7 linked regions of the Mus musculus genome follow. The protein of the gene in region 5 interacts with the protein of the main gene of each other region in a pairwise test. Links are inferred from orthologs where the notes say so. Each region holds a gene or a part of one and is shown on either strand. Other genes may lie near its edges.

Evidence for each region.
Region 1: the proteins of Tnik (region 5) and Trim2 interact in a two-hybrid assay, tested with the Homo sapiens proteins (2 studies listed by BioGRID and IntAct). The link is inferred for Mus musculus from reciprocal best matches to the Homo sapiens genes TNIK and TRIM2.
Region 2: the proteins of Tnik (region 5) and Smarce1 interact in a two-hybrid assay, tested with the Homo sapiens proteins (2 studies listed by BioGRID and IntAct). The link is inferred for Mus musculus from reciprocal best matches to the Homo sapiens genes TNIK and SMARCE1.
Region 3: the proteins of Tnik (region 5) and Dpysl2 interact in a two-hybrid assay, tested with the Homo sapiens proteins (2 studies listed by BioGRID and IntAct). The link is inferred for Mus musculus from reciprocal best matches to the Homo sapiens genes TNIK and DPYSL2.
Region 4: the proteins of Tnik (region 5) and Pde4dip interact in a two-hybrid assay, tested with the Homo sapiens proteins (2 studies listed by BioGRID and IntAct). The link is inferred for Mus musculus from reciprocal best matches to the Homo sapiens genes TNIK and PDE4DIP.
Region 6: the proteins of Tnik (region 5) and Myt1l interact in a two-hybrid assay, tested with the Homo sapiens proteins (2 studies listed by IntAct). The link is inferred for Mus musculus from reciprocal best matches to the Homo sapiens genes TNIK and MYT1L.
Region 7: the proteins of Tnik (region 5) and Ppm1e interact in a two-hybrid assay, tested with the Homo sapiens proteins (2 studies listed by BioGRID and IntAct). The link is inferred for Mus musculus from reciprocal best matches to the Homo sapiens genes TNIK and PPM1E.

What each region holds. Positions count from the first base shown.
Region 1 is NC_000069.6:84,172,780-84,176,279, forward strand, and holds part of Trim2 (tripartite motif-containing protein 2), read right to left. Parts: intron 2,415-3,500; exon of another isoform or gene 1,859-2,414; intron 155-1,858; coding exon 1-154. UniProt on the Homo sapiens protein: UBE2D1-dependent E3 ubiquitin-protein ligase that mediates the ubiquitination of NEFL and of phosphorylated BCL2L11. Plays a neuroprotective function. May play a role in neuronal rapid ischemic tolerance.
Region 2 is NC_000077.6:99,228,218-99,232,353, reverse strand, and holds the start of Smarce1 (SWI/SNF-related matrix-associated actin-dependent regulator of chromatin subfamily E member 1), read left to right. Parts: upstream 1-1,336; 5' UTR 1,337-1,952; intron 1,953-3,805; 5' UTR 3,806-3,850; coding exon 3,851-3,857; intron 3,858-4,035; coding exon 4,036-4,079; intron 4,080-4,136. UniProt on the Homo sapiens protein: Involved in transcriptional activation and repression of select genes by chromatin remodeling (alteration of DNA-nucleosome topology).
Region 3 is NC_000080.6:66,827,542-66,831,041, reverse strand, and holds part of Dpysl2 (dihydropyrimidinase-related protein 2), read left to right. Parts: intron 1-1,059; coding exon 1,060-1,121; intron 1,122-1,599; coding exon 1,600-1,680; intron 1,681-2,202; coding exon 2,203-2,271; intron 2,272-3,500.
Region 4 is NC_000069.6:97,756,208-97,759,707, forward strand, and holds part of Pde4dip (myomegalin), read right to left. Parts: intron 2,724-3,500; coding exon 2,592-2,723; intron 1,445-2,591; coding exon 1,325-1,444; intron 1,090-1,324; coding exon 997-1,089; intron 890-996; coding exon 677-889; exon of another isoform or gene 163-676; intron 1-162. UniProt on the Homo sapiens protein: Functions as an anchor sequestering components of the cAMP-dependent pathway to Golgi and/or centrosomes.
Region 5 is NC_000069.6:28,261,730-28,266,013, forward strand, and holds the start of Tnik (traf2 and NCK-interacting protein kinase), read left to right. Parts: upstream 1-1,484; 5' UTR 1,485-1,913; coding exon 1,914-1,970; intron 1,971-4,284. UniProt on the Homo sapiens protein: Serine/threonine kinase that acts as an essential activator of the Wnt signaling pathway. Recruited to promoters of Wnt target genes and required to activate their expression. May act by phosphorylating TCF4/TCF7L2.
Region 6 is NC_000078.6:29,849,884-29,853,383, forward strand, and holds part of Myt1l (myelin transcription factor 1-like protein), read left to right. Parts: intron 1-1,650; coding exon 1,651-1,887; intron 1,888-3,500. UniProt on the Homo sapiens protein: Transcription factor that plays a key role in neuronal differentiation by specifically repressing expression of non-neuronal genes during neuron differentiation.
Region 7 is NC_000077.6:87,356,195-87,360,199, reverse strand, and holds the start of Ppm1e (protein phosphatase 1E), read left to right. Parts: upstream 1-1,205; 5' UTR 1,206-1,296; coding exon 1,297-1,751; exon of another isoform or gene 1,752-2,174; intron 2,175-2,306; exon of another isoform or gene 2,307-2,671; intron 2,672-4,005. UniProt on the Homo sapiens protein: Protein phosphatase that inactivates multifunctional CaM kinases such as CAMK4 and CAMK2. Dephosphorylates and inactivates PAK. May play a role in the inhibition of actin fiber stress breakdown and in morphological changes driven by TNK2/CDC42.

The sequences.
Region 1 (3,500 bases), about 56 Mb from region 5:
CCCCGTTTCCTCGGCTACCAAACCTGGTGACTATTTTCCCGTTGGGCTGGAAGATAAACACACAGCACGCCTTGTTGTCCACCACAATAATGTGCCCATTGCGGTCCACAGAAACTCCTTTGGGCCCCATCAGTTTTCCTGATCCAATTTTTGTCTGTTAGAAGCAAGTACAGAAATATACATCAAAGTTCAAAGCATTCCAGAAACCAACCTGAAGCTAGTTAGTTGTCTTAGGAAAACATTGGCTGAAATGTTATCTCTGTCCCAGAAAAATGGCTCTACCATATTCAGCATCTGCTACAGACATTTATATAAAAGCTTTATTTTTAAGGCATTTGCCACCAAATTTGGACCACAGTGCCCTTCTAAACAGACACTTGATGAAAGAGTACAAGGTCTAGAGAGAGATCTTGCTCCTGCCTGTCACTTGCTTTGAGCACACCGGAAACTACATTTCATACTCAGCACTAAAATCCTGGGCAAACTGGAGTTCCGGGAAGAAACGCTAGACACCAGACTCTGTAGCCTAGGAAGTGGAGCGTCAGTGGTGGCAAAAGGAATGTTTACCTTTTATTTTATACTTTTCACGTATTTTTAAAGCCTATTTGTATGAGCTTTTAAATTAAAAACTAATCCCCACTAATTACGTTTCATACATTCTGCTATGAAGCCCTCTCCTACCATATTAGCACTGGCAGATAGAAATCTGTGAGCTACAGATATACATTTTAATTTTTTAGAGTTATTTATATTACTTTATGTGCATGAGTATTTTGCCTATGTGTATGTCTGGGTATCATGTGTGTGCTTGGTGAACTTAGAGGTCGGAAGAAGACATCGAATCCCCTGGAACTGGAATTACAGATGGTTGTGAGCTACAAACGTGGGTGCTGGCTTCTCTACAAAATCAACAAAAGCTTCATCCACTGGACAATCTCTCCAACCTCCCACATATGTACTCTTCATTTCCTAATGCAGATGGAGTTTCTCCAAGTAGAACTTCTTGTGTGACTCTTTATTCTTTTAAGTCTACAAATGACGGAGATTCAGGTGTGATTGCCTTCAAGCAGAGAGACACAATTACATAGAAAGGGAAACATCTTGTCTTAGGCCAGGGAATCTCTTGTGCAAGTTTGATTCTGATGCTGCAATGAAGCCCACGGATCAAAGAGGCTCTAACATAATGGCATGTAAGGAAATCGCTAACCTCTTTCAAGTCTAAAAGGAAGGTATCACGAGAGATCAAAAGGAGAGCTGGCGCTCCGCTCATTAACCGCCTAATACACTACTACTTAACGTTACAAACATCAGTAGTTACTCAGAATGACTCAACCATATGATACCAAGTGGATAATTATCTAGAATGAAAACAGAAGCCAAAGGATTATCTTAGTTCTACTACAGGATGCCCGGATGCCGGCTAGGGCAGATCTACAAGCACAACTTAAAGCTGAAAAACAATGTTGCTTTCTCCCTCCACTATTGTGTCCACTTCAGAAGCACTGAATTCTACAAAGTGAAATAAGAAGCCACACATTTGGCCTCACCGTGTTACCCCCACTATCTTAGACTAGTAAGAAACATATTTCAGATATGTTGGAGACAGTTAAACAAGAGCATTTAACTCAACAAACAGCTTTCATGCTGAAGAGGGAAACGTTGAGACATTTTAGAATAGTAGCCATAAAGGTCGCCATGTTTGTGTTTCATATGTATATGGTTTTTTTTTTTAATTTTAATGTTTTTCTGATTACAAAAGGTTCCCAGCTGGTCTGGAAGATATAAGCCATGAGGGAAGATGAAAGGGAAGACATAAAAGGAGGCAGGGGAGGATGACTACTCGACTACACACCAGATGTCTATAAAAAACGGTAGTAAAGATGCTACACATCTGAGATGGTCAGGAGCAAGTATAAAGACCATGTTGGATCTCCTATAAACTTCCATTGCTGCTCTAGCATCTCTCTTTCCAAGCTGATAGTGCTCCTGCGAACATGGTGAACGTGCCTAAGACCCGCCAGACATTCTGCAAGAAATGTGGGAAGCACCAATCCCACAAGGTGACACAGTATAAGAAGGGCAAGGACTCTTTGTATGCCCAGGGAAAGCGGCGCTATGACAGGAAACAGAGTGGCTATGGTGGGCAGACTAAGCCTATTTTCCGCAAAAAGGCTAAAACTACAAAGAAAATTGTGCTGAGACTAGAGAGCGTAGAGCCCAACTGCAGATCTAAGAGGATGCTGGCTAGGAAGAGATGCGAGCATTTTGAATTGGGAGGCGACAAGAAGAGAAAGGGCCAAGTGATCCAGTTCTAAGCCGATTTTGTTATGAAGACAATAAAATCTTGACCATTCAACCCCTTTGATTACAATTGTTCTTTTGGGAGGGAATAAATTAAAAGCTTTCAGAAATTATATATATATATAAAAAAAGACCATGTTGGGGTAAAAGAGAAGTCAGCTGCACTGTTGCGTTCACTGTCTCATTAAAAGAGCAAAGCAGCAATCTTCTGATACTCAATTGTAGCCTGCACACCTGGGTGAACTTTTTACAGTACTCGAGTGCTCTCATATGCTCTTTTTACCTTAATGGGGTCTAACCAACATCTATCCTAACGAGGTTCTTGCTGCAACAGGCAATATCCTTCTCCATCCTCTGGGGGGCAGGAGTGCTCCAAGGTCTTTGCACTCCACAGTGTCTACAGCACTTGTGACCAACAGAGCCCAACTTTAGGATTTCAGTTCTTCCAAGTATTTATTATGTGTATGGAACTATCAAGTCATGAGTGTAAAATATGTCATTCAGGGAGCCATTCTCTCTCTCAGCTAGCAAACTCTTGCTCAATATGCAAAAGCTGCTTGCTGTTGTATTTGCTCCCAAAGGTACAGATGGCTAATTTTTTTTTTTTTTTTTTTTTTTTGGCCAAAGTCTAAGACAAGCATAAGCAGGTTGTCTCCAAACTAGAGTTCTTCTAGAGGACAGCAAACAGTTTTTCTCCGTGTTCCTACCAGAGTTGTCACGGTTGGGTGTTGGAAGATACAGAACATGAGAGCTTCCTGTACCTGTGGCCGTTATATGGAGCTGTCAGGTTCTAGCGGAACAAAAAGATGCACTATCACACTGTTAAAGGAGACAGCCCTTTATTTTCTTAGATTGAAAAGGTACTGCCTCACATAAAGCAAGGGCTCTAATCTGAGAGTAAAAAAAAAAAAAAATGTAAAACCCATCTCATCTCATAAATGCCATCTTGTAAATACCATGAGGTAACCATGACAACCTAAAGCCTTCCAGTGCCTTCGATCAATGAGAAAGGTTCCAGAATGAATTAGGAAAACACACCCCAAACCCTCAGAGAAGGAAGTAATGTGGTGGCAACTAAACACCTTCATTCAGCCATGAAGCCCAAGTCTCAGCTGCTCACACAAACTTTATGTTATGCAAATGATCACAAGAGGCATGGAGAAAAACATTTCTTAGATGAGGCCCATGTAAAAATTCAG
Region 2 (4,136 bases), on a different chromosome or scaffold from region 5:
CAGCACTCGGGAGGCAGAGGCAGGCAGATTTCTGAGTTCGAGGACAGCCTGGTCTACAGAATGAGTTCCAGGACAGCCAGGGCTACACAAAGAAACCCTGTCTCGGAAAACCAAAAAAAAAAGAAAAAAGGAAAGGAAAGAAAAGTGCTGCAGGACCTGTTCGGGACCCTGGATTCAATCCCTAGCGCCTCACAGAAGTAAAAAGAACAAGAAAGAATGCCATGCCGCTGTCCACTTAGAACTCAATCAATTCCCCTTTTTTAAGCCAATTTTGTGCCAGCCCTTTCCCACCACAGCATGCAGACACCGCTGAGTTTCAGAGAACTAACTGCCCAGCTGGGAATGGCACCTTGCAGCATGCATGCGCGTGCACACATGCTCCGGAGCACTGTGCCTGTACCCCCTTTTCCACCATTCCATAGTCCTTGCTAAGACCGGGAAGTAACAAGGCTGGAATTACTGGGCAGAGGAAGAAGCCACTGGATCCCTGCTGTAATTGTGTGGATCCTACATTCACCTTCTCTATGCTCTTTGTGTTAAAAAAAAAACATTTTCAGATCATTCCCTTATGCTATGCATTCATCTGAAAACAAAACAAAACAAACCTCTCCTTTAGTCTTTCCTTACAATACCGGTTCATTTCGATAATTTCACCAGAGTATGAAAATATTGGGCGATGGAAGAACTGGACAGTATTATCACTTATCACTTCTAAAGATACCTCACTTCCTGTTGTCACAACCAGGATAAGGGCCAACAGGTAGTCCCAGCATTCAGCCAGTTTCTCTAGATGCTAACATTGACCTTAGATAACCACAGATGCTCTGTTCATTTTTCCTCCACCGTGACGTGACCCACACTAGCCAAGTGTTCTCTACTTTGTATAATCCGCCAAAGTATTCGTTAATTAGTTTAAAAAAAAAATAGCCCTGGAATGGTCCAGAAAGGTGGCTCCACGCACACTCACTGAACAATTACATGTCTAGCCCTTAGAAATCATTGGTAATTATGAAATTGTCCGGTCCAGATGCCTAAAACTTTGTTTTCAAGACTTTCCAAGATAGCAGATGGCCCAATCCCATATAGAGGGTATCAGATACAGGACCGGCTTGGGAAAGTTCCAGGAGGGCATCACAAAGAAACACTGAACTGTTTAAAGACAAGCGAGGCTGAGCTGAACTGGCCCTCCTGGGAAGGGATGTGAATTGTCACAGGTATGCCAGCTGGAAGGAGTGAGCTGACATCTGAGGACCCTAGGCGCAGAAACCCGCCGCCATCACTCGACCTCTAGAAACATCTGGGAAAACTACAAAACTCCCGTGTTGCTTTTCGCTTAGGCGGAGGCAGGGGAGCCCCGCTGGGCGCCAGCAAGGACCTAAACGCAGCGACCCGGGTCCTCCCCGCCTACATTCTCCATCTTCTCCATTCATACGTCCATCAGCGGAGGACTGAAGACCAGAGCGAAGGGAAAAGCCAGAGTGCATGGTGTGTGGGAACTGCGTCCCACCCTCTCCCGGGAGAGGCTCCGGCGAGCCTTTCCCCTCCGGCGCCCGCCTCACGCGGCGGCGCCCACCGCCTCAGTGAAGCCCCGGGCGCGCAGTCTGCGCAGTTCCTGCCGCCGGGCCGCGAACCAGGGCCCGCAACGCGGCCCAGCCTTCTCCGCCCTCCTCGCCGTGACGAATCGGCGCCCGACTGGGACGGGATCCAAATTGGAAGACTTCTGAGGAAACCCAGGAGCCTGACGAAATTTTTTTTAAAAATCCTTGGCGCCCTAAGCCTCGCCGCGTGCTCACTGGAAGGGCTGTTCGTCTGCCGGGAGCCGGCCGCGGCCGGCAGACAATTCCCGGGAGCGTGTGGAAAGTGCGAGCGCGGAAGCTCCGGCGCGAGGGGCGGGGCGAGCGCGGGACAAAGGGAAGCGAAGCCGGAGCTGCGGGCGCCTGCTCGGCCCGCGGGTGAGTGTTTCCCAGTGGGCCCAACCCGGTCGGGGAAGGGTGGCGAGCGGTGGTGTTTCTGCTTGGCGGGACCCCGAGCTCCCGCGGGGTGCTGGGGTTCGGCCTCGGCTGCGAGGCGGGAGCTAGAGCCGGTGCGGCCTCGGTGAGGCCTAGCGGCGGCGGGGCAACCCCGTCCGGAACAGCTCCTCGGAGGCGCCGGTAGTCCCTTTCCGCGGGACTCCCGACGCCGGTGAGCACCAATGCACAACCCCCTGCAGGGGAGTTTCCAGAAAAGCTCGCCCTCCGCCCGCCACAAAACTCCAGGGAAAGGATCTCCGGAAACCCTCTGGGCAAGGCCAGCGGGGATCCTCACCCACCACGAAGGTGGTCGTCCCCCCCCCCCTTTGTTTATTTTTATTTTTTATTTGGTTCAGGCAGCGACTTAAGGATTCCCGGGGTGGCCTGGAGTGAAGTCTGAGACGGTGTGGGTTGGGTTTAAACCCATCTCTGACAATTCCGGGTCTCTGGCCTTAGACACTTAATCGCCCCGAGACTGTTTTCTTCCTTTGTAAAATGGGGACAGTCATACGCATCGGGTAGGGTCGTTGTGACTAGTGAGTAAGACTGTGTTATAAGCCTGACCAGTAAGGTAATTAATTCAATAAATACAGAGTTGCGTCCCAGGCACAATGGTTAGATCCACTCACTACTAGAGTTTATATGCTTAGCCCGGGAGAGCAATCATTTGTAAGTATTAGCAGTGAAGTGTAAGGTACCAGGGACCCTGTCACAGTTTCTGTCGGGGCTCCCCACAGCAAGGCCTACTGGGTGTTGATGGAAGGAAAAAAAGAGATGAATTGAAAAAACTTAGCTATTTCCACATCAGAAACTCTTACCTTGATGATTTGAGGCACTTCCTTAAAATGAAAACTAGGAGAAAAAAAAGTGTATTCACCATCCTTCTAAAAATAAGTTTTCATCTCTTATGCATTACCATTTGTGGTCTATGTTGAGTAAGGAACAAGCTCAGATATGTCCATGTTTCGAGCTGGCCATACTAGGACCAAATTTATGAAGACTTGAGCTATGTTTGAATAATACAGTAATAAATTAGACCATCCCTCCTCTCTTGCAAGGCAAAACCTAGCACATTCACATGTTGTTGGAGGGAAAGTGCCGCTGGTCTTTGTAAGCCATGTAGGAATACAGAGACGAGATATAATTTATTCTGTCCCGATGATGTATCAAGAAAGTACCTGAGATAATTTCTGAAATGAGCTGTAAAGGAACAACATGTGTCCTGTAAGTAGCCTCAGAAAATTGTTCCCGGCTCTTATGAAACTATTTACCAACAAAAGAGAATGTAAAGTTTGTTATCATACTGACTTACCTTTCACACTGCCTCCAGGAATAAGACATGACTCTGTTTCAATGAAAGATGTTCCCTAAATAAGGCAGAGCTTCTAATCAGGGGTTGTCAGTATCTGGTAGGCCTTGTTGGGGTCACCCGGATAATACATCACATTCTATTGTCATTATTTTTTTTTATCAGTCTAAGTAATCGTTTGCATGGCATCAGCAAAATGTTTTCCATACAAGACGCTGCTCTCAGTATCATAAGCAAAAACCTAAAAATCCATCTCTAATATAACTCTAAATTTCCCAGTAATTTATTTTCATCATTTAATTCTGATCAATCAAATGAATGTAAGAACTAGTTAAAAATATGCAAAAGGCTTGATTACTAGCAATTAATAGTGAAGTAATTTTGCTCAGAAATACCAAACTACCCTATTCTTTAGGAAAACATTCTCTTATGCTTGCTGAGTTTTGATTCTCTTTTTTTTTCTTTTTTTTCTTTTTTTTTATTTTAGTGTCTCAGATTCATTCTTAAGGAACTGAGAACTTAATCTTCCAAAATGTCAAGTAAGTTTCAATTTTTATATTTATCAATCTGTGTTAATACGAGACTAATGCCCTAGCAAATGGGAATTCCAAAATACTCTCATTTTTTTTTTTCTTCAAAGCAGGACCATTGGTAGTTTTGTTGCATAGTATTATATCTCAGTTGTTTACAAGAAGTTATTTATTTTCTTTCAAACAGAAAGACCATCTTATGCCCCACCTCCCACCCCAGCTCCTGCAACAGTAAGTTTTAATTTTCTTGTTAATGTAATAGCCAAGTCTGGCCTTGATACAAAAACC
Region 3 (3,500 bases), on a different chromosome or scaffold from region 5:
ACACCCATACAAATACACACACATACACACACACACACACACACACACACACACACCCGCGCGCACGCACTACCACTCTCTACATTTAGGATACTTCATCTTGCCAAAATGAAGATCCATCTCCATAATTGCTCCTTCCCCTTCCTCCAGCCCAGGTATCCCCATCCTACCCTCTCTCTGTGACACTGACAGCTCTCTGTGACACTGGCCTGTCCCGTGTCCCTCCCGTCCATGGGGTTTTTCAGCACCCATCTTTTGATACTGCTGTTTTCACTCAGCAGGATGGCTTCTGTGTTTGCTCCCATTGTCCCATACAGCCAAATGTCCTTTGTCAGACCGAATGGTGTTCCAGCTTACACAGAGACTGTTTGGTGATGCTGACACAGTGATGCTGAGACGGTGACACTGATGCTCACTGGCTGGTGGGGGTGGGGCTTCCACTTCCAATCGTTGTGAGTTATGTTACTACAGACAGGAGTCAGTAGTGTTATGTAGCTACAGACTGCAAGCTTTTAATTTTGATAGACCTGTGAAGTTCTCAAACAGGAAAGTCAGAACTGCAAAAACAATTTCCAGAAACCCTGGTCCTAGCTTCCCATTTGCTTTGTCATTCTGCCTGCCTGTCTGCCTGTCTGTCTGTAGCCTGTCTTTCTGTCTCTGTCATGCTTTTCCTCTTTCATTCTGTGGTACTGGAGATTAAATCCAGGACTTCATGGTGCCAGGCGAGCACTCTACGCTGAGCGCTATATTGAGCACTTTCTAGTTTGTGTTTTCTGAGACAGGGTCTCTCTCTCTAAACTTTACACGACCTTGAACTCACCCTGTAGCTCAGACAGGCCTTGAACATGTGATCCTCCCGCTTCAGTAGCTGGGATGACAGGCATGTGGCTGTGCTGTTGTACTCAGGCTCTCCATCTCCTTCTCTCTTCTTTTGTCCCCTCAACACCCGCTCCCCTGCACAGATGTGCACAGGTCCACACACACGTGTGAACAGATTGTTTGCTCTGAGTTTATGTATTGAAAGTCACGTGTCTGCTTCTCTTCTTTGTCTGTCACCAGGGGTAAACTCCTTCCTCGTGTACATGGCTTTCAAAGATCGATTCCAGCTGACGGATTCCCAGGTAAGAAAGCCAACTTTTCTGAGTAGGTTCCTGATGTTCTGTTTAGTTTGGTTATGGCTGCCATCTGGGGAAACATTTCTTCCGCGTGTGTATATAGCTCACTCATAGCTTGATGGGATATGGGTGGCAGGTTTGGAGTTTAATGAAGTTAGCCTTTGATGGGGTCTTGCCCTTCTAAACTCTCATATCAAACCGTAACCTCTAATCAGGATACTGTGTGGCCTAGTGGTAGTGCTGAGAGTCTTGGTCACACCTGGTGCAGAGCTGGGTGTCATCTCCTGCATTTCACACTTCACCCCTGTCCTTTTGGTTGGGCTGCCTCTCTGACTCTCAGAGTGGCCAGAAGGCAGTCCCCTTGAGCCTATTGCCAAGCCAAGCCTGTCACAGCAGCCTGGGTGCCATTTCAACCCAGGGGATGATTTCCTTTGACCAGAAACTTGCAGGTTTGGGTCTCTGAGTTCGTTCCCTTCTTCCTCAGATCTATGAAGTGCTGAGCGTGATCCGGGATATCGGTGCCATAGCTCAAGTCCACGCAGAGAATGGTGACATCATTGCTGAGGTAAGGGACCCATCCTTTCATATTTTCTTCCTCTCCTGGAAAGCAAGCTCAAGAGTGTAGGACAGCTTTTGAAGCTGGACCACCAGTGTGAAAATCCAGAGGGCCGTATGGTCTGGTACAAAGGCTCTTCGGGGACTTTCTGCTAGTGTTTGGTAAGGCATATTGCTTATTTCCATTATAGAAAGGCCCCTTCTTTTGGCACTGCAGTGTAGCTGTTCTGGATGGAGTCAAGGAACACCGTAGTCACACTTGGATACCATCATATTACTGTGCTGTGGGCCAAGAGTGGCTGTCAGCTTCCCTGGGGATGCTGAACATATTGAGGGGCTCTAGAGGATCTGTCTTGCTCAAGTGGGATTGGAATTAGTATAGTGATGCCTCTTTCTGAGGTCTGGCATGACACCCGGTATCCAGCAGGGCCCACTGAACTTCTTGCTAGGGAGCTTTTTTGCCCAGGTCTCTTGGCATCCGCCACCTGAAACCCACCTTCTCTGACCACTCGGCTTTCTATGCACATTACAGGAACAGCAGAGGATCCTGGATCTGGGCATCACGGGCCCCGAGGGACACGTGTTGAGCCGGCCAGAGGAGGTGAATATCTGGGACTGGGATGTGCGACATGATGTCTCGTAGATTCTGTGCAGGGCCTCTCCTCCACCCCTGTACCTGTTGAAAGTGGGGCTTTTTGGATGTGCTTTGGTCTTTCAAAGAAATGCGTGTGCATGTGCATGCATGTACATACCCATTTGCAGTACCGCCAGTCCCTTAAACATAGGATGGAACCACAGAGTTCCTTTACACCTCTAAAACGCACATGATGAGTCATTGCTGAGTGCAGCACACTCAGTAGGGCCTGGTGGATAGAACCATTGGGAGCCGTAAACAGGATTAGCCCAGGCTGAGAAGCACAAGGTTATCACACTGGACCGTGGAGCCTGTAGGTCAGAAGGCTGCAGGTATCATATCCGTGCTTTTTCAGAGGCTGGTCCTTCAGTATAGGAAAAGGTCTGTAGAACGGCAGGCAGTCTTACAGCTCTGAGGGGCAGAGGAGGATGGAGGAGTTCAGCAAGGAACAGTCTAGACTGCAAAGATTGCAGGCAAGGGGAGACCCTCAGGGACCTGGGCGGATGGAGGTTCAACATTTAAGGTGTCCCTTCCAAAAACAGGACAGAGGGGGATGTTTGGTAAGTGGCCTGCGAAGGAGATGGGGCCACTAGATCCCAGGGCTTGGCAGAACAAAGTGTGGGAACAGGAAGGATGCCCACAGGAGCTAGCTCTCAGGGACCCACTGTTCTGGTTAACCCTTTACGCAGAAAAGTTACACCCATGCGTACGTGGCTCAGCACAGGGCCTCCTCTTTGGCCATTGTCTCACAGAATTAGAGCACTGAGTGACCAGTTCTGGACATCCTGAGGCTCAGCAGGGCTTAGGAGCATGGTGGGAGGAGCCTAACTTAACGCCAGGCACTGAGTTTGATAAGGCTCTTGAGTAATTTTGCCCCATGTCAGTCCTATGGGTGGGAGGAATCGAGGGAAGGAGGGAGGGAGGGAGGGAAGGAGGGAGGGAGGGAGGGAGGGAGGGAGGCAGGCAGGCAGGCAGGAAGGAAGAAAGGAAGAATAAGATTTCGAGCCCTTCACCCTTGCTGTTCTTCCTGATGGTGGCTGTTTCTTCTGTCAAGCTGAGTCTTTTGTGTTTTAAACTCTTGAGGGGGCGACACAGAGAATCAAACATGGAACCACTCTGAATGGACTTGGCCATACAGCCCACTTTAGGAAGAGACCCCCCAGCACATAGGAGGCAACACTAATGTTTTAACTTTG
Region 4 (3,500 bases), about 69 Mb from region 5:
TCCATGCTAACAAGATAGAGGACTATTTAAGGACTGTATAATGCTACATACATTTAAATTATATGACTAATTATGCATGGACATGCCCTTCTCTACTTTACTCAATGACTTTTTCAATTTAATTAATCTATGTATTTACTTATTTATTGGTGTGTGTCTTACTTATATGAGTGCAGGTACGCCCGCGTGGGGGTCAAAGGACAACTTTCAGGAAGTGGTTCTCTCCTTCCGGCATAGTTCTGGGGCGGAAACGCTTGTGAGTCAAGCATTTTTCACTTGTTGAGCTACCTCATCGGCCTCAGCTGACTTTATCCTTATAACCTCAGCGATCTCCTCCTGCACGAGGCGTAAGCACTCTGACTTCTTTCCTCCGACCCTCCTGGACATAGCTATGGGAACATAAGCCAGACCCTTTGGGAGTATTTATCCTATTAACATCTGTCGTGTGACTGCCTCTCCTGCTAAAGTAGAAATAAAAAGGCAGAGTCTGATATCTACCTTTGTACTTCCAGGACACAGTCTGCTCATCTGGTGCATGACCTCTGGGGGCAACAAACACTGACCACACTGGGTAGGCCAACGATGCAAGGGTTTAGGTTGGGCACAAACTGTCCTGCTCACAAGTCATGGTGGGGCAAAGTCAGCGCTGGGAGCAAGAGAACGGTTAATGATTTACCTGGTTATGTTTCCAAGCAGCTTCCTTCTGGTGCTCTCTCTCCTGGGCTGCAGCCTCCACTAACTGCACACATCGCTTGCCATCCGCCAGCTGGCGTTCTTTCTGCCGGACCAGCCTCTGGAGCCTCTGTATTTCAAGCTGGCTGCAGAATAGAGCGCTCTGAAGGTCAAGCAGGGCTACCTGTTGCTGAGCAGGGGCAATGCCCTCTGAGCTCTGAAAAGAGGAGAATCACAATCACAGTCACAGGGAGGGAAGCACGGAGCCCCCGGGAGACCCGGGCAGCCAGGGCGGCCCCATTCCTGCCTGTGGCCCTCACGTACGTGGAGCTGTCCGAGCTGGCTCTGGTGCAGCATTTCCCGAAGCTTTGCCATTGTGTCATTTTGTCCTTCGATCACCTGGTACAGCTCCTCAGTCTGGAAATGAGAGGAGGAGGATAGCGTGCTAAGGTTAGCCAACGACTCGGAAAGTCCTTCTCTCTCCTGTGCAGATGTTAGGGACAGGAGCTTTCCAAAGCACCTACTTAGCGGACAATTTCCCATAGAAAGATTTGCTGGCCTGACAATAGTGACATCTACAAATAGAGAGCACTTATCTACGTCACCAGCGTGACCCGTCTCCCCACAGGTCTGTGACCACGTAGCCTCTCACCTCACTTTCCCTGCTTTTAAGCATTTCCTTGAGGCTCTGGATTGTCGTATCTTGCTTCTGAGATGACTCCTGTGCAGATTTCAGCTCACAGCTCAGGTCATTCAGTTTCTCTTGAAGAATCTGAATTCAGCAGAGAAAGTCCTGTTAGCTCCATGATGACTTTTAACCTCGAGGGCCATCACACTGTCCTGTGCGTTTCGGGTTTAAAGAACAACTTAGGGCATACCGCCTTACTCCTTTCCCGTGCACTGTAACCATCAGACTATGAAGAGAGGCAGCAGATGTGCACTGCTTCCCTCAATGCGCAGATACCTCAGTTCTCATGCACTGCACACGTTCTTTATGTCAACAGCCAGCGTATTCTCTTGACTCTCCCATATGACCAAGGAGTGCCTGCTATCTAGTACAGGAAAGGCTATTATAAGAGCACACTTGACCAGATATTCAAGAGCCCCCTTGGGACAAGTGCCTTGAAAACAGACATTAAAATCCATGAGCTAACAAGGGTAAGAAGATATACAAAAATTTAAAGCGGGGCGTGGTGGCGCACGCCTTTAATCCCAGCACTTGGGAGGCAGAGGCAGGCGGATTTCTGAGTTCGAGGCCAGTCTGGTCTACAGAGTGAGTTCCAGGACATCCAGGGCTACAGAGAAACCCTGTCTCGAAAAAACAAAAAAAAAACAAACAAAACAAAACAAAACAAAAAAATTAAAGCACAAATTTCTTGCATCAGAGCTTTACTGTAGAGTTAAAGATTACATGGAGATCTGATCTCATTCCCAAAAGGCATCAGGAAATGTTGTATATGTGGGACAAACTAAAATCCTGATAAGAAACAGAGAGAAGAGGACCTGAGTTGAATCCCCAGCAGCCACATAAAAAGCCAGACTTAGAGGTGTGTGCTTAGAATCCTAGCTCTGGGAGTGTGGAAACAGATGCATCTCTGGCTAGCCTCATTTTTAAGCCCTGGGTCCTAGTGAAAGATGGTCTCCAAAAGTACTCCAAGGTAGATAGATACCTCATGAGGAGCAATTCCTGAGACTGAGCTGTAGTACACACACACACACACACACACACACACACACACACACACACATACACACACACGCAGCTCACACATACAATAAAGGAAATAACGATAAAAGTATAGAATTATACTTCTAAATTGGCCATTCTGTAGAGAACAAGGGATGGCCCAGCGTTCATCTCTCAGACTCTAACACAGACTCAGGATGATGAAGCGGGACTAGAGCGAGTCCTGATGTACCTTGTTGGTGGCCTCTGTTTGCTGGATTTTGTCCTGGAGTTCTGCCAGGTGGGACTCAGACACAGGTGGCTGGGTTGTAGGGGTCTCATGCAAGTCCGGCTTCTGTTGCGTGGGTAACCCTTTAGGCACGGGCTAGAAGGCAGCAGGGCAGACAAGCACACTGAGTAAACGCAGCCAATAAGCCATTTGATTTTCATGTTCAAACTGGGCCTCCTTTTTCAGAAAGCTGGAAACCATAGCTGCGGCACAAATGATGAGGTGACTTCCAGCAGACAGTCCTGCTACGTGCTAGGAGTACCACTTCACAGATGTCCCTATGTGCTACTTCCATAGGAGCTACTTCCCTCCATCCTTGACATTCCCCACCCGTTCACACAAACCCTACGCTACTCTGTCAGATAAAGCGAGTGACTCAGAATTTAAAGACAAGGGGGACTTACTAAAGAATATGGCTACAACCACATATTTGCTTCAGTCTATGTTTAACCATGAGATGAATGAAGGTATCAAAGGATCAAAGTCATATTCCAATTACCAGGCCTATTTGTGTTACTGGAAAACCTGGCAAACTTTATTTTTTGAATGAGTTCAACATTAGGGAACAGCATTTCTGCAGTACACATTTCCTTAGCTTGTACTGCAGTTGATAAGAGAAGTCCTTGTCCTTAAGAAATACATGTGGATGTATCTAGAGTAAATTACTTGTTTGGAAGCTTTTAAAATAATAATAATAATAGCTATTATTATTATTATTATTAATGTAGCCAGACACAGAGAAGGAGTAAAAAGGCAAAATGTAATGAAAATAGCAGCCCTCCGTAATCCAGAGGGATGGGTGCAGAAGAATGGGAGGTTTTTGAACTTTTTTCTTCTCAATTGTCTCTATAAACCAAAATTAATCAAAATAAA
Region 5 (4,284 bases):
CACCCCAATGAGTCCAAGACTAAACAGTCCAGCTAACACTAATTTCATTAGTGTTGGTCCGTTCATTCATTCTTTCAACTTGTTCTGAAGCTCATAATTAGTTTATTCTTCATGACTTTAAAAAGAAGTGGCAACAGCCCAAGTGTTGGTGTCCATGTGTAATCTGAGTACTTGGGTGGGCGGGGGGGGGGGGGTCATTTGCAGGACAATGAGGAGTTCAAGGCCATCCCCAGCTGCACAGTGAAGGGAAGACTTCCTTTAAGTACTTAAGATCTGTCTCATAACCATACCAAATCAAACAACCAATAAGATAAATCAAAAAGAACCTCTACTCCCCCCAAAAGAAAACAAAACAAAAAGTCAAATAAAAATCAACCCCCCCCAGTATGTTTAGCTTTTTATCTCAGTAGATGCTAGAGGAACACTCAGAACTATTGATGAGTTGAAGCCAGTGGGAAGAGTTCACTATAAATGTTTTCTTCCGACGTATTTTGCGTGGCCAAACTAGGAGACAGGCAAGGATGCGAGAGGGTTGGGGAAGTGACTTTACACTTTTGATAAAGAATGACGGGTTACCACTGCAAACACCCAGCTCTTGAGTGAAAAAGCGAGCGAAGTCAAATAGCTCGCGGGTCAGGGCTCACTATCCTAGAGCCAAACTTTCTCCATGAATCCAGGTAGGTCACCGCGGAAAAGCTACAAAGGAGGAAACACTGGGTTAGGTACTATGTTGCCCAATTAATGTCGGCCTTGGAGTCACCTGAATCCTTCGAGCTACTGCACCCAGGGAGCAAGCTTCTCTTTTCAATTCGGTCATTTCCGTGGGGAATTGCGGCACGCGCAGGTCTTGGGTGTGGCGATATCCAGACAGAGCTCACATCTCTCGGATTTCCAGCTTCTAGCAAACCTACTCAGCCTAGAGAACCACAGACGATTCGGGCCTGCCTTCCTGCAACCCAGTGGCCGCGAATGACCGTGACCCTGTGGCCACTGCTCAGCACCAAAGCCAGGCTGCCGGCTCGGCGCGTGTGAGCTTCTCCCCAACTCGCTCTGCGCGGGGAGGCGGATCCCCTTCCCTGCGCACAAGTCCTTATATGCACCGGTTGCACCGGCCCGCCTTTACTCCAGCCCCACAAATAATTAATGGGGGAGGGAGGACGCTGCTGCCTTTTCCCGCTGCCTCTCCCCACCACCCTTTTCACCATTAGAGTATCTGAACGCAGTCAAGAAACCCCAAGATACGATCGAAGAGCCATTTTGGTGCACTGCACAAATTGGACACATTAAAAATATATATTCAGCATTCAGGCTCCTGCACAGAGAGGCTCAAAAACGGCTGTTTAGATTCAGCACTATTAACCCTCAAAAGCTGGGGCGGAAAGGGTGCGTACCCCTCCCCCACCCTGGCTAGTGGCGGAGGGACCCGGTCAGGAAGCGCGGCCTCTCCCCAGTCGGAGACCACGCCTCTCCCCCCCCCCCCACTCCTCCCAGGAAGCGGTGATAGACAGTTCTGTGTGGTTCTCCACCCCCACCTCCCAGCTGAGTGGAGGAGTTGATATGTCTCATTATAACAGCCAATGCAGCCGCCATCCACGCACAAGCAAAGAAGCATGTCCCATTTAAATACACCCACGCAGCCCCAGCGCCCTTAGCCGATCAGGGCGCGCAGCCCACACGCACCGCGGCTCCGGGCTTGGAGATCCGCGCAGGTCGGGCTCCGGGATCCCGCGGATCGACGCTCTCGGAAGATCGGGATCGGACTCTTGCTGGGGCCCGGGTGGGCGGGGGAGGCTGGGCCCCGGGCCTCTCTGGCGGACAGCCGCATGAGGACGCGAGCGAAATAGACCGGGGTGGAATTGCCAAGGAAGACGCTTCGGGGTGGTTTTGGTCCATTTCTCCCGCGAAGAGTCGACATGGCGAGCGACTCCCCAGCTCGCAGCCTGGATGAAATCGATCTCTCCGCCCTGAGGGTGAGCAGAACGTGTTTTTTCCTTTTTTTCCAATGGTCTAGGGCTGAAAGAGGGAACGTTCCCTGCCTTTCTGTTCTAATTCCGGGGCAGCCGAGGGGTTCTAGGCTGAGCCCCTACCCCTACAGCAGGGGCTGGGCTCCCCTTGTGCTCCTAGGCTGTTCCCGAGGTTCCGCAAGGAAGCTGGTAGAGCTTGTCAGTTTCATCTTCGATCGGTGTAAGAGCATTACATGAAAGGCTGGTGTGTGTGTGTGTGTGTGTGTGTGTGTGTGTGTGTGTGTGTGTGTGTGTACCCGGGCAACCGTCTCGTGCCAAGGCGCGAGACCCGACTGCTCCTTGCTGCAAAAGATTCTCTTGGAGAAGAAAGGCACTGGCCCTTCACGTTTGCCAGCTACCTGCAAGATGCCATCGTGAGCTAGCTGTCTCTACCAGCGGACCCTGCTGCTCCAATGGAGCAGTAATTGCTGCTCTGGGCTGGTCTTGTAGGTGCTAACTGACTCCCTTCCCGGCTTCTGTCTCCGGTGCTGGGGCTCCGGCTCAGCTCTTCCCTATATGCCAGTGTGCACTCACCTTTATCTGTGGTTTGAACTCAGCCCTGCCTATTCCTTCCCTCGGTGACTGTGACCTTTCAGTTTTATGGCTGAACTTCAGCAGGTGAAAGAGAAGCTTAACCGCTTCTCCTCACCACACCGGAACTCCCTGGAGAGATTGTGTGTGCGTGTGTGCCTGTGTGCCTGTGTGCCTGTGTGTGTGTGTGTGTGTGTGTGTGTGTGTGTGTGTGTGTGTGTGTGTGTGTGTGTCCCAGGTCTGTGAACAGTCCTTTGTAAAACATATTCCCTTCCCCGAGCCCGGCCGCTTTGCCTTTACCTAATGAAACACCTCAGACGTCGTTCCATTGTATTGAATAAGACTTTAGTGATCTAGAATCCATTTTGCTGTTGTTTGAAAATCAGACTGCCAGGAATCCCATTGCAGCCTCGACGCTTCCCCACCCCCACCTCTAATCCCAGCACACTCCTTCGGGGAAGGGGGCCGAGCGCTCTTGCCATTTTAATTAGATGCTGCCTGCCAGGAAGGGGGTGAGGAGGGGTGGTGGCCTTGGCAGCAGCAGGCATCTGAGAAAGATTGGACACCAATCTCAGTTCCACTAGTTTCTTCCTCTCCCGAACTAAAAATAAAATAAACAGCAAATGCATATGCTTGATGCCTGGAGGGTAGGTGAGACCTAAGAGATGGTGTCTCATCTCATGTCACCCACCGCCAGTAGGGGTGGAAGTTCAGTGGTTCTCCGGAACACATTGTTAGATTGATGCTAGAATCTTGAGGCCGTTTACCTGTGTCTACTAAAGCCTTCCTGCCCTTACATTTCTCTACAAATATTTTAAGGGGCTAGATACCTGTCTGATGGAGGTGATACTTTTTCTTCAGGCTCCACGAGTCTCTTTTCTTCCCTCTCCTTGAATCCTTGCCCCTTCCCATATCTTTTGGTAGAGAGAGAGAGGTGACAATTCAGAGAGACAACTCGAAGGTTGAGGACTGACTGCCCTATGAAACGGCCTGTTGTGCTAGTGGGGCAGCAGAAGCTCATTCATGCATGATTACAGTAAGCTGTCTGTTTTTCTGGTGCCCAAAGGCCACATTCAGAACCAGTGAGTAGCTAAGTGTGGGGGTTGGGAGCAGAGTGGGTGCTTTAAACAAGCGCGGCTTCCTCTTCACCCATGGTGTGTGCTCTACTTCTGTCTGGGAGTTGCTATGGTGTGAGTTAATCAGGTGGACCAGACTTGGAGAAGGAGGAGTGGCTAAGAGGTGGAGGCCTGAACAATGAGGCAGCCTTGTGATATAGCTGAGCAGGAATCTTAGCATCCTTCTCCCTGATATGATTTTTAAGTTGGGGGGCTGGGAGGAGGGGACTAGCTCCTGTGGGCAAGGTTTTCTGAGATACCAAGCACAGAGCACCTTGATGCATACTTGAGGAAACTCCCGGGCTCTGCTATGTGTATGTGGAACAGATATCTTTGTATGATTTACTGAGATTGCTCTTTGTCACCCAAGAAGCCCAATGAATTCTCTGCCTGCACTGGTGTGTGCAAAGAGCTAGGATAACAGCTACTCCCAGTGTCTGGGGGAGCTATTGGCTGGAAGACTTACATGCAGATGGGCAGACAGTTGTACTCAGCAGGCCTGGGAGCGTCAGGCAGTCTTGTGGTAGGCTAGGTGTGCAGGTCCGTTTGTCTCCGAGGGCCAGTAGGTGATGCCCACAAATGGAAGCGTAGATGGTGGCTGCCTTCCCAGATTTGGAGAGGTTGGTTCCTAAGCT
Region 6 (3,500 bases), on a different chromosome or scaffold from region 5:
TGGCAGCACTCAGGGAATGGTGTCTATTGTTCTTCATCTGTTAGAAGAAATTGTATTTATCATGAAAATTACTTATTATTTTTTATTTTGAGATTATAATACACCTAGATCCATTTCTCCTATTAAGCTATTACTTACATGTATGTATGAATGTGGAGAGAAGCATGGTTCATCTATGGAGATCAGAGAGTAGCCAGCAGAGGCTCTCTCCTTCCACCACGTGGGCACTCTGCCCACTGCAGCTCTGGCACCCAGAGCAGAAGAAGAAGCCATTAGCATGGGTAGGGAAGAGAGTGAGCAGGCTCTGCAGGGCTCTAGGCAGGAAGCAGTGTGTCAGAAAGTGCAGCCTGTGCACTTACCTGTGCCACCTGCCCTCTGTAACTGAAGGTTCTAGGTGCTGGCAGTGGTTGTCATAAATCATTGTGATTTATGCGATCAGAGGAAGGCCGCTCGGTCACATTCAGCTTTTATTCCTTTGATGGTTTTACTCCACGGTAGTGGGATAGTGTCAGGAGACATGCATTCTTCATGGACCTCTGGGCTACTGAAGGCTAGTGCAGAAGCAAGCCATCGCTGTGAAAGAATAGAGATAGGCATCTCCACCAGGGTTGTTTGGTTTTTCCTTTTTTAAGAAGAATACTAAGATTAGGATAATGGCTTCAATATGATGTGGTCTAAATTAGTAGCAAAGCTTGAAATCTGGCCTGCTTTGACAGAGTTCTGTCACAGCAGCACTGAAAAATATATGAAAGTGCAGCTTGTCCTGTGTGCCCGTTACCTTCCCAACCAGAGGGACAGGTGGCTAGACATCAGAGGCCACAGGGTCATTCAGGTTAGAGGTCACTCTCCTGAGAAAATCAAGGTTTATTTTGACATTGCTTGTTCACTGCCATCTAAATGCCTTCGCCCCTCTGCCAGCAAAGCTGACTGATGACCTTGGCCTATTAAAAGGCATGCGCGTGAGTGTGTGTGTGTGTGTGTGTGTGTGTGTGTGTGTGTGTGTGTGTGTGTGTGTGTGTGTTTGTGGGGTCTTTTTGTTTTTTACCTATTTGACACAGTAGCAGATATGGAGATATCCAGGTCAGCTCAGTCCAGAATCTCCAAAATAGGGCCTTGGGAAACTATACTGCATACCAACAGTTCTAAAATGGAAATCTGGCCCCGGATTCCATCTCAGAAGGAAAATTCTCGTACCTTCTCCATCCCTTCTTCAACATTCAAGTCCTTTTCTTTTCCCCCATTCTGAAATTATTATCATCAACAGAATGCCAGGAAGATAGTTAAGCTGCTGTATGATGGAAGGATAGAGGTGGACAGTGGATGGATGGGGGAAGGACCAATGAGTACATTGCTGAAGTGGTGATGGACGAGGGAAATTGGGTGGGTGGATAGATGGATGGCTAATAGATGGATGGATGGATGGATGGATGGATGGATGGATGGATGGATGGATGGATGAGTGACTCTTCCAAGCAATCTCTCAGGTAGGCCTGGGTAGCGAGCTTGCCTGCGGATGGTGATAGTCCACCTGGGAGTTACTGAGGGAGCAATAGTGGGTGATAAACTCAGTCTTAGCTAATGGTCATCCTTAGTCAGGGAAGGATGGGAAGGCAGTCAGGCCCTCTGGGTTAGACATCTTTCTTTCAACAGAACCCAGACATGGAGGTGGATGAGAATGGCACCCTGGACCTGAGCATGAACAAGCAGAGGCCTCGAGACAGCTGCTGCCCAGTCCTGACACCCCTGGAACCCATGTCTCCGCAGCAGCAGGCCGTGATGAGCAGCCGATGCTTCCAGCTGAGCGAGGGGGATTGCTGGGACTTGCCTGTAGACTACACCAAAATGAAGCCTCGGAGGGTAGATGAGGATGAGCCCAAAGAGATTACCGTAAGGAATTGTGATGTGAGAGTACCTTCTCCTTGCCCCTGCATGTATTTGTTAGGAGCCAAGAGAGGCCTTAAGGAATAAGAGTCATTTTCACACTCTTCAAAAGAAAATGCGTTTTCTTCCTAAATTTGATGCTTAGCTGACAAGGACTCAGAGAACAGTTTTGGTTGATTCAGGGGAGATATACAACTGATATTGATTTGAGAGAAACAGACTATGGACTGTTTCAGACTTTATTTTCTAATAAATATGTATAATTACAAGTTGTTTCTCTAGGAAATTAAAGAAAGGATCATATTATTTTATTTTCAACAAATCAATACTGTATTTTTATGATAAAGTATAGGTAGGAGTTTTGGTGGCACATGCCTGTAACCCCAGTGTACAGGCAGTATAGGTAGGAGGGTCCAGAGTTCTAGGCCAACTTGAGCTATATAGTGAGACCCAATTGCATTTAAAATAAGTACTTATTAGTGTGTGCTACAAATAAGCTCAAGCACTTAGACTGTACTTCTTGTATAATACATCTTAGTACAGTCATCTGATTCTTTGTTTATGGCAGTATTTTTAAAATGCCTATGTTAAAGTATATATTTTAGTTTGGGTTTTTAAATTAGTTTACTTATGCAATAGAGTACCACTTGATCTAAAAGATATTCTTTCTTGGTGTGCTTGTGCTTATGGGTATTAATGTATGGGGGTACCCACATTCACAAATCAGAGAAGGCTGTCTTCCTATGGCCCTCTCCGCCTTATGTCTCTAGACAGCAGGGCCTCACGGAGCTCACTGTCTAATGAGACTGACTTGCCAGTAGACTCTTGTGCTTCTTTTTCCTTTCCCAATACTGACGCTAACAATACCCACACCACATCCAACTTCTTACATCGATGTTGGGAATTCAAACTTTGGTCCTTGTGTTTGCAAGGCAAGCATTCTTACCCATCAGCCATCTCCCCGGCCCCAAGAACTTCTTTTCTTCTTCTTTTTTTTTTTTTTTGGTGTTTTGTTTTTTGTTTTGTTTTGTTTTGTTTTGTTTCTCTGTATAGCTCTGGCTGTCCTGGAACTCACTTTGTAGACCAGGATGGCCTTGAACTCAGAAATCTGCCTGCCTCTGCCTCCCGAGTGCTGGGATTAAAATTGTGTGCCACCATGCCCGACTAAGAACCTCTTTTCTTTACTTTAGACCTTTTTCAATGCTCAACTCTGAAAGTTCTCATATTTATCCATTGTAAAAAAGAAAAAAAAAAGAATAAAATCAGAGTAGAATTTGGAGCCCTCATCAGACTAACAATGACTTAGAGTGGGAAAGGGACTGGTGACAGGTCTTGCATTGAGCCTTTTTTGGGTTTTCGTACTGTGTAGTCCTGTTTGATCTCAAAGTTACAGTGATCCCTGCCTTGTCACCACACCCCACCCCCAATGCTAGATATAGAGATATGTGCTGCCTCACTCAGCGTAGGCGCAGTCTACCCTTGTTCCTCTTCAGTTGCTGTCATAAAACAACATGGCCAAGGCAACTTAAAATTGGAAGGGTTTAATTGGGTGTACAGTTTCAGAGCATTAGAGTCCACAGTGGCAGAAAGAAGGCATGGCAGCATGCTAAGAGCTCACA
Region 7 (4,005 bases), on a different chromosome or scaffold from region 5:
TCAAAGCACCCACCACCAACATCATCACCATGAAGCCTGAAAATAATAGGTTTGTTTATAGTTTGGTAAGAAAATTAGAATAATTTAAAGTCATTTCAGTTCTAGCTTGGGGGAGGGAGTAAGAAGAGACACAGGAGGTGGTGGGGAAGAACAAACAAAATATAGACAAAATACGGATTATATGGTAGGATAATATAATATAATGACATGCATTATACAGAAACTAAGCAGGGGTTTTTGGGTGATGGAAAACTTACAAGTGAAATCTACCACTTCAATCTCGGATTGAATTCTTGTTGCATCGCTTGCTTTTGACCTTGAGCAAAGTCACTGTTTTGAAGGCTTGTTTCCTCATCTGTAAAACAGAATCCTAACGGTAATAACCTTTGCCTTAAAAGGCTGTGAGGATTAGAGACGAACACGTGTAAACTGCAAAGCCCTATATAAATAAGACATTGTGTAGATACGAGGCACAGCTAGATTTTCATAGAGCAGAGTTAAGGGGAAAGATTCTAAAGGCTTTGGAGACTTTGAAAGGGGCTCTAACACCAATGCCACAGCTAGAAAGTCTTGACTTTTAAGCAAGCGAATTACTGTTTAATTTCTCACGTTCATCTTTTTGAGAAAGGAGGATACATAGAATCAAACGAAAGAACCTAGACAAAGGAAACTACCCTTTTTGGGTGCTCGTGCCTGGACCTTTACTTTTTCAACACATATCATTAGTAAAAGGTGTTTACTGCGTGCCATCGGATCAAGAGATATACTACGGCAAGGCAAGCAGATAAGGAAACTGAAGTCAGTACACTCCTGGTGGAACCAACAGAGATGTCTCAGTGCTTATCATGAAACTAGGGTCTTCACCCCACAAAGACCATTCGAAGTTGGAGTGCAGGAGTCCAGCGTCCTTACCACTCCACAGACTCGACGGGAGGGACCTTGGAATTCTTAATTAGAACCGGTTGCCATGGCGACAGTCTCTAGGCAGCGTGGGCTGAGCTCTCGGTAGGGATTGCGGGTGGGCCGCCGCTGGACCCTGTGCGCGCGCCCGCCACCAACTTTCCCTCCAGACCGGAGCGGGGTGGCGCGCTCCGCCCCCGCCCCCGGGCCGCGCACGTCCGAGCTCGGTGGCGCGCACGCCTGCGGGAGCCCTCTCCAGGCAACCCAGTGCTGATCGCCGGTGCCCGTGCGGCCGTTCCCCCTCCGTAGCGGGAGGCGAGGCTCCGAAGCAGCCCCCTCCTCCTCCTGGGCTCACCTCCCACCCCCTTCCCGGTGGACCTCGGGGCATGAGCAACGATGGCGGGCTGCATCCCTGAGGAGAAAACTTACCGGCGCTTCCTGGAGCTGTTCCTGGGCGAGTTCCGCGGACCGTGCGGTGGCGGCGAGCCAGAGCCCGAACCCGAATCCGAGCCCGAGCCCGAGCCCGAAGCCGAGCTAGTCGCGGCTGAGGCGGCCGAGGCTTCGGGGGAGGAACCGGGGGAGGACGCTGCGACGGTAGAGGCGACCGAGGAGGGGGAGCAGGACCAAGACCCCGAGCCCGAAGACGAGGCGGTGGAGGAGGAGACGGCGACGGAGGGCGAGGAGGAGGAAGAGGAGGAAGCGGCTGCCCCGGGGCACTCGGCCGTGCCGCCACCGCCGCAGCCCCAGCTGCCACCGCTGCCCCCGCTCCCACGGCCGCTGTCGGAGCGCATCACCCGAGAGGAGGTGGAGGGCGAGAGCCTGGACCTGTGCCTGCAGCAGCTCTACAAATAGTTAAGTAGCGGGGCTCGGCCGCGGGTGGGCCGCCATCCCCGGGGTGCCGGCCTGGGTTCCCGTCCCCGCTACCCATGTCCCCGCGGGGCACCCGGGCGGGGTCCCCCCCGCCTGCCCCCGGCCCCTCTTCGCTGGCCCTCTCGGCCAGCTTCTCGGCCACTTCGCACACCTTCCTCCAGAACCTTCCTGCCAAGGTCTTCCCTCCCGTCTTGGGCTCCCCATTCTTCCCTGCGCCTTTCTTCCCGGGGTTTCCTCCCACCTTCGTCTGTCTGTCCTTTCCCGGGCTGCGTTCCTTGTTGGGCGGTGGGGACGCGCGACTCCTTTACAGGCAGTAAGAGGTGCCTTTCTACATAACCGCAACAAAGCTAATACCGTCGGTGCCCAGAGGAGCCCAGACCCCTAGATTTTCCGTCAGGCGCTCACTGTTGAAATGAAAAGGCTCTATAGATGGCTTTCTTACGTGAGAGCCTAGTATCATACTTTGCAGACATTTGACAGCATATAATTGAGAGCGGTAGGGAGGAATTGGGAAGGAAGGGTAAGTAAAACCCTACCGAGCAAGCCGTTAGGTGAAAAGACGAGGTCGTAAGTCAGAAAAGTCAGCCTGGTTGGATAAAATTGCAATTAAGTGCAGTATTTTCAGTCCATTAAGTAGATGGGGTGGGAGGTGGGAGAAAAGCAGATGGCTTAGCTACCCAGATGCAAGTCTAAAATAGAAAGGTCAAGGCTTTGCCTTTCATCCGAGTTCTGCTTTTTATGGGCTTGAAATAGAAACGGTTTACAATCGCGTTTCTTTCCAAATGGAATTGTTCTGAAATAATGCCTCTGCAAACACTGGGAAACCCGAGAGTCTTTTGCCATTCAGCTAATAGTTGTAATGAAAGGTGTTACTCTGACCACCCCAAAAGTTTACTATCGCAAGATTCACTGCGGCTAAGTTCAAACCCACTTCCTGGATTTCTCCAAAGCCTGGAGGGGGCTAGAAAAGAAAGCTATTTTGTCTTCATCAGACCTCATAGACAACTGATCAAACCATTCTCCTGTTAAAAGCAGCAGCCTGTCAAAGGGAAAAGCCACTGAGCAGATCTGTAGAATTGGACTGTGCGGATGCCACACTTTATAAACCATCCAGTAATTAATTTTAAAATACTGTTCAATTACCAGGGGAATTGTGTGTTTTGGGGAAATGCAAAAATAAAATGGCGTGTAATACCACCACCTGGGGATAAACAGCATTAATGGTTGAGTATTTCTTTTTTTTTTTTTTTAACTATCACAGAAAAGGACCTACAGAATGCCATTTTAAAAAAATTACATGATTCAGACACTTAAATATAGTGGAAGTATTTACCAAAGTGAAGGGATTTATCTCAGACTAGTACTATCTGGACAGTTTTTACCCTTACACATATGCTCCCAGAACAATTTAAGGATTAGGGACGCTCCCATACTGCCATTAATGTAGTACAGTCTGAACATTTCAAGGCTTTTAAAACTGAGATGCACAGAATGAAATGGTAAGATGTGGGTGTTTTTTTATTTTTAATGTGATAAGGAAACAAGATTAATCAAAATGTACATATCAATTAGAAAAATGATTACGATGAGAAGGTGATTGCCAATGAAGCACAGAAGTTTGTGTTTGAGTTAAAACTAGCAAAATTACAGCTAGAAAATATTATTTCCCCTTAAATTGGACACTTATACTCTGACTTCACATAATATCAGACTTTGTACTGTATTTTATTCTGATGCTAGTCGAGATAAAATGGCTGGCTCGTTTATGTGATGTATCTTTAAGGTTTTTAGTGGGTGTAAAAGTTTCAAAATGAAAAAAATGTTTCAAAATGTGTAATGACATTTTTAGTTTTTATTTTATTCCAAAAAAAAACACCAGATAAAAGCCGGGCGTGGTGGCGCACGCCTTTAATCCCAGCACCCGGGAGGCAGAGGCAGGCGGATTTCTGAGTTCAAGGCCAGCCTGGTCTACAGAGTGAGTTCCAGGACACCCAGGGCTACACAGAGAAACCCTGTCTCGAAAAACCAAAAACCAAAAAAAAAAAAAAAAAAAAAAAAAAAGACTTAGGAGAATCAGGATCAGCCAACTGTAGTGTTCGGCCATTGTTTTGTTCAAGCTCTTCATTTTACATGTGAGGCCTCTATCCAGATTTGGAAAAAAAACCAAAAAGCAAAAAACGAGTCTTGTAGAAATGATTCCAACATTTCCTGGCTTAATCTCCGACTCTCAAAACA